Linked DNA regions of Drosophila melanogaster. The protein of the gene in region 1 binds, or shares a complex with, the protein of each later gene. Each region holds a gene or a part of one and is shown on either strand. Other genes may lie near its edges.

Region 1 (3,763 bases):
TGCTGTTATTACTCGTCTTCTATTTTATGCGTCTTAAAATTCAAATATGCGCGCCATTCGTAGCATTAACCAACACTGTACCAGCTGGCAATGTAAATTGGTATATTTTTGGTATATAACTATCGACCCTCGGCCATCACTAACATGCAGCGTTGCCCCATCCCATCTAACGCAAGTACCAAACTAATTTGGCCATCTGGCAGCACTGGTCAAAAGTGACACGGCGACAACCAGCTTAAAAGCGAAAGTTAACAATTAACAATTGCTGGCGTCCATAGCCAAACACACGAGCCAGAAACTGGAGCCACCCCAAAGCCAGAATGTCGCACGCCATCGACGAACTGCAGGCGATCATCGCCGATCTGAAGACGGAGCTGGAGACGGAGCCGAAATCCAGTGGCGGCGTCGCTAGCAACAGCCGCCTGGCACGCGATCGCATCGATCGCATGTCCGCCGAGGTGGTGGACTCCAATCCGTACAGCCGCCTGATGGCCCTGCAGCGGATGAACATCGTCAAGGACTACGAGCGCATTCGCTACAAGGCGGTGGCCATTGTGGGCGTGGGCGGCGTGGGAAGCGTCACCGCCGACATGCTTACACGGTGCGTGCACAACAAGAAGAGAAGGGCAACAGTCATTGTGCACCACAGCTAGCACTCCAAATATGTTGTCTTTAATTAAAGGCTATGTATTAATCAATTGATTTCCTGCAGCTGCGGCATTGGCAAACTGATACTCTTCGACTACGACAAAGTGGAGCTGGCCAACATGAACAGACTGTTCTTTACGCCCGATCAGGCGGGCCTCTCCAAAGTTGCGGCCGCCGCCGCTACCCTGAGCTTTATCAATCCGGACGTGGAGATTGAGACGCACAACTACAATATTACAACGGTGGAGAACTTTGATCGCTTCCTGGACACAATATCGCAGGGCGGACGGATAGCTGGCCAGCCGGTGGATCTGGTGCTCAGCTGTGTGGACAATTTTGAGGCACGAATGGCAATCAATGCAGCGTGCAATGAACGCAATCTCAACTGGTTTGAGTCGGGAGTTTCGGAAAATGCCGTCTCGGGGCACATTCAGTTTATCCGTCCTGGCGATACCGCCTGTTTCGCTTGTGCACCACCCTTGGTGGTGGCCGAGAACATCGACGAGAAGACGCTGAAGAGAGAGGGCGTGTGCGCCGCTTCATTGCCCACAACTATGGGCATTACGGCTGGCTTCCTTGTCCAGAACGCATTAAAGTATCTGCTGAATTTCGGCGAGGTCTCTGACTATCTGGGCTACAATGCCCTTAGCGACTTCTTTCCCAAGATGACGCTCAAACCGAATCCGCAGTGCGATGACAGAAACTGTTTAGTTCGGCAAAAAGAGTTCCAAGCCAGGCCCAAACCTGTGCTGATCGAAGAGAAGGCAGTCAGCGAAGAGCCGCTGCATGCCACCAACGAATGGGGCATCGAACTGGTCGCCGAGGATGCGCCAGAAAGTAATACAACGCCCGCCGAAACCCCAGTGATGGGTGAAGGGCTGAGGCTCGCCTACGAGGCTCCTGAGAAGTCCAGCGAAACGTCAGAGGAAACTGTATCTGCAGCTACCGCGGACGAAACCAGTCTGGAAGACCTGATGGCGCAAATGAAGTCCATGTAAATTGATTCCGTACTCCGTATTTATAGACACTTTTTGTAAAACACACACTTTTTTTTTGATAAACTCAGCTTCGATTTGTGTAAAACTTGGGCCGAGCCATTTTTTATTTATTTATATATAGTAACTTTTAGTCACTTGATTAAATGCTTTATGCTCAAAATTATTTGAATTACGCGGGAAATTTCAATTCTTGCAGTTTCTAGTATTTCAGTATTTTAAGCTTCCCCTATCTGGCAGCACGGTCAACTAGTCCGTTATCGATTGGCAGCGATAACGATTGACAATTTTGTTGTCGCGTTGTCACACAAAAACGAAGAAAACTCCTGAAAAAAGAAAAAAGAGTTTTTCTGAGCATTTCGCAAACTTCTCTTGGAAATCAAGGGCATCAAAACACAATAGAGAGCAGATAGAAGATGGGCAAGAAGGATGAAAAGTCACAGCAAGGCGAGGAGGTGAGTAAACCGGTTGCCGGCTTGGCATTTGGTCCATTAAGATGTGTTCCACGTCATTGTAGAATGTAAATGTAAACTAAGTGAATATGTGCATAAACTAACTCCATCCTGTTTCATGTGCCCTGCCAGCTGGTGAAGGTCAACAAGTGGGATGGATCCGCAGTGAAGCACGCCCTCGATGATGCAGTGAAAACCTGCCTCCTTGGCGATCGTCCCCAGCTGAAGGAGCAATTCGGCCTGGTCAACACCCGTTTGGCCCTCTGCGCCCTCGCCGTTTCCGTGGCTATAATGGCCCATGCTTGGGACTTCACCCACCCCTTCCCGGAATCCCGTCCAGTGCTCCTCTTCAGTGTTTTGGCCTACTTTGCACTCCTCGGCATTCTGACCCTGCACTCCAGTTTCCGCGAGAAGGGCACCTTTGCGGTGGCCCTGCAGAAGGACAAGGAGCGGGAGCGCCTGTGGGAGGCCAGCTCCGATATGCGCAAGTACGACGACAAGTACCTGCTGACCCTCAGTGTTCGCGACACGAAAAATGGCAAGCGGCGCGAGCAGAGCAGCAACAAGTCGTGCGCCGCCTTCATCGATCAGAATGGCATCGTCCTGGACAACCTGGTGGCCAACGAGGTCAACCGTCTGTTCAACGCCTTAGCTGCCGACAAGAAGAACGCTAGCAGCCTTTCTTCTAATTAAACCAAATTCCCCACTTTTGTCTCATTAAATTGTACACTTTTGTGGTAAGCCGACTGTTTGTCTTTTGTAATAAGCGGAAAAACTATAATATAAAATGAATTCTTTGATTTACAGCTTAACATAAATTGTCTGAATCTGATAGAAACTTAACCAATGATTTGTGGACTATTTTATTATAATTTCATGGGTTCAGCTGCAAAAATCTAAAAGTTAAGAGGGCGGGGATTCCGGTGGCGGCAGAGGAAGAGGAGAGGGTGCCCAAACTGGAACTGGCGGCGATGGGGAAACCCATATTGCGCTGATAAGGCCATTGATATTAATTCCATATTTAACCTGGCTGCCTTCCCAGAAGTTAAACATCAAAATTGGGAGTTGTCGATGTCAAAACGTTTATATATATATATCAATGTTTTTATATTCCAAAAGCTCATATTTGTGACATACTAAAGATTTTGGCTACAAGAGAGTAATGTACGTAATGTAAAGTCTATATGTACGACTAACTCATGTGTTTTTAAAAGATTATTCTATTTGTTATTATATTTATTCACAATGTGGAGATGTCCCAATCCAAGTGTACCCAGAAATCCGAGTGTTTTTGACCTTCTTCCTGCGGCGCTCCGGCTTCCTTTGTCATCATCATCTTTTTATTTTTTCAGATATCTGTATGGGGCACTACGGTTCCTTTTCCCATTTCCCATTACCATCTTCTCTTTAATTTCTACATATTTCTTATGTCTTTCCAAAGCCTCAATTTCTGACATCTTCTGGGCCATTTTCTTTTTCATAATCATCTGCTTTTCTAACACCTTTGCTGCCATTGTATCCTTGGCCGTCTTTAGAGCCTCCAATTTTCCCTTAGCAATCTTTAGTGTCTTCCCGCATTGCCGGTCCTTCGACTTCTTTTTTTGCACTTTCCCCTTGGCCATCTTCGGCTTTTGCAAGTTTAGCTTTTCCTCTTTCTTATTTTTCTCA
Region 2 (2,753 bases), on another chromosome or scaffold:
TGCGCAGGCGAATGGACGAGGTGGAGGTAAAGGAGCTGCAGGAGGAGGTAGATGAGCCGGAGACGGTGCGACGAACCTGGACGCTAGACAACCTGCCCGTCCGCCGAGCCGTCTTCATAGACAGCACATGGAACCAGAGTCGCGGGATCTACGCGGACGCCAGGGTGCGCGGCCTACGAACGGTGGTGCTGCAGAATCGACTGTCGCAATTCTGGCGCCACCAGCGCGGCAGTCCGCGCTGGTATCTGGCCACCATCGAGGCCATTCACCAGTTCCTCCTGGAGGTGCACATCAATGCCTGGGGCCTGAACACCGCCTATCGCGGACTCGATAACCTGGAGATCACCGCGGGCTTCCATCAGCTGGCAGAGCCGCTGACCAAGACAGCTGCCAGTGAGAATGTGGGCAGGGAGGCGCCCTACAATGGGCAGTACGACAATCTGCTCTTCTTCTTCGCCCACATGTACGATCTCATCCACAAGTACTATGACCACAACGACCTCATCGCCTACCGACGACCCATCTAGCGTTCTAATGGACATACATATGTATATATATATATTATATTGGATGTAGTGAGAAGTACACGTAACTGCTGGCCTAACTAACTACTGATCCCACTGATTCTACTGCTTCTTCTTCTTCTTGCCCTCGTCGCCGGACTCGGAGCTCGACGACTTGGCGTCCGTATCGATGGGTTTCTGCCATTTGAGCGCATTGCGACGGTACAGCGGCCACGGTGGAATGGTGATCTGTGCAGGAATCTCGTGCTGTTAGCAATGGAGCTACTAACACGACAGCTACTCACCAGCGAGGAGAGCACAAATCCGGCGCCCAGGATGTACACGGTCTGTGAGAACTGCTGCACGAAGGCTCCGTAGACGAGGCCCACAATTCCGAAGAACGTGATGATGAAGCGCGACCAGCGCTCCGCCTTTCCCTGACCCGCGAAGTCCTGCGGCGGTAGAGTGCCGTGTTAGTGTTATGTGCTAATGGTTGCGAAGCATACCTACCATATGCGTCTGGATGTCCAACATTTTGTGCAATTCACAAGCTGCGATTCAACAATTTTCGGCGTAAACAATTTTCTTTTGCGGCACGTCAGCAGCCGAATGGTGTGACCGTGCCGAGCGAAAAATGCCAAGGGGATGAGAATATACTGGAATTTGGAACTCGGTGAATTTCCCATTATTTTTGTACATGCTTATTTCCCTCTTTTTCAAAATAAGTGTGTTTGAAAAATAGCGAAATTGTTTGTAGCTTTCAATTGTGTTTTATTATTTTAAATTTAAAATATGCAAACAAAACGGAGATTATTACTCTCTAAATGATGTTTTCCTTTGCAGAGTAAGCTCTTGAAACAAAATAAATAAGTTCAGTTCACCTTTTCTTATGCAAAATATGTAAAATAAGTTTATAGAAGGCAAAAATGTTGCATCTTTAAATGATTTATATAATTTTAAACCACGCCAATTAATGCAAACTAATAGCCCATTTAAAATACTTAACTTCATTTACATATATGTATGCATGCATATCTTTAATGCAATTATAGTCATTTTATTGAAAAGGCTTGCGATGTGAATAATCGCTCGTTGTTCATACATATGTATATTATTTGTACAATGCGTTCATAACGTGGACGTTCTGGCTTGTGTGTCACTATAACTAACTAAATAAGTTAAAAGGCGAACAGGTGGAATGTAAAGTGTAGAGGACCTCGCGCCTCCCGATTCATGGCAGGACTCAGACCCTGGCGGCCTTCGTGCGCCGCAGCTGGACGACATTGATCACGCAGACGAGCAGCCATGCGAGCAGTGCGATCCAGGCAAAGACCAGGGTGAAGTACAGGCAGGCGGCCGTATTGATGCGCCCGTAGCGTCGCCGCTCGTACGACACGCTCTCCACCAGATAGTCCATGAAGTCGAAGACGGCGGCGCACGAGAGCCGCGACTTGATCACGGGCACAATGTTGCCCACGCCCTGGATCTCCTTCAGCAGCGACTCCCTGTACTGCTTGCAAGTCACCTCGAAGCCATCCGTGAACACGGCCGAGTAGACCAGTTGGTAGACGGCCATTATTGTCGAGATGACGGTGGCGGGCAGCCCTAAATTAGTTAAGTATTACACATTTGTACATAGTTAAGTTCGGAGACGATGGACACTCACAGTAGTAGGGCGAGAGACCATCGGGCGTGAGTTCCGACTCGGTGGTCACCACGATCATGTCACCGGAGCTGCAAGCAGAGAGCAGAGAGGCGTAAGCAAACAGTTGATGCTGCTCCAAGTTGGAGCCCATGATGGCATTACTCATAGCCAGACAGACGAACGAGTGTGGCTGGCCGATTAACCCCATTGACCCGCCGACACTCGATCGCGATCGCCCGCTCTTACCGCTGACGGATGGTGGCCGTGCCCGCCTTGGGCTTGCCCCGACCGATGCACATGCGGTAGCCGTGGTAGACGCCCAGGACGACGGCGAAGAGCAGCGGCAGCAGCAGGCCGTAGGTGGCGAAGTGGCAGTAGGCGACGTTGCCGCCCTCGAAGCTGTGGAACGTGCTCTTGCCGTGCAGCACGCAGCCGCAATTGGTGTCCGGGCAGGCATTGAGCACGTACTGCCAGTGTGTCCAGGCCACCGCCGAGGTGATGCAGCAGACCAGCGATGAAACGATGGCCAGCGGGTAGAGTAGGGACAGGGCTCGCTCCGCGTAGTACGACATCGTGCGAATGGTATCTGCTCGCAGGAGTATCTG

The links. Proteins that work in one complex are often made in the same cells at the same time.
Region 2: Spase25 (region 1) and Spase12 share a complex: the UniProt entries of both Drosophila melanogaster proteins name them as parts of the signal peptidase complex.

What each region holds. Positions count from the first base shown.
Region 1 is NC_004354.4:11,483,334-11,487,096, forward strand, and holds Spase25 (spase 25-subunit), read left to right. Parts: upstream 1-1,916; 5' UTR 1,917-2,059; coding exon 2,060-2,098; intron 2,099-2,227; coding exon 2,228-2,788; 3' UTR 2,789-3,233; downstream 3,234-3,763. Other genes in the region: Uba5 (Ubiquitin-like activating enzyme 5), read left to right, coding at 321-601, 713-1,646; CG33235 (uncharacterized protein), read right to left, coding at 3,436-3,763. UniProt on the Drosophila melanogaster protein: Component of the signal peptidase complex (SPC) which catalyzes the cleavage of N-terminal signal sequences from nascent proteins as they are translocated into the lumen of the endoplasmic reticulum.
Region 2 is NT_033777.3:29,490,002-29,492,754, forward strand, and holds Spase12 (spase 12-subunit), read right to left. Parts: upstream 1,150-2,753; 5' UTR 1,038-1,149; coding exon 1,014-1,037; exon of another isoform or gene 956-1,013; coding exon 809-955; exon of another isoform or gene 753-808; coding exon 627-752; 3' UTR 543-626; downstream 1-542. Other genes in the region: CG2006 (uncharacterized protein), read left to right, coding at 1-527; CG2310 (uncharacterized protein), read right to left, coding at 1,747-2,108, 2,170-2,237, 2,395-2,720. UniProt on the Drosophila melanogaster protein: Component of the signal peptidase complex (SPC) which catalyzes the cleavage of N-terminal signal sequences from nascent proteins as they are translocated into the lumen of the endoplasmic reticulum.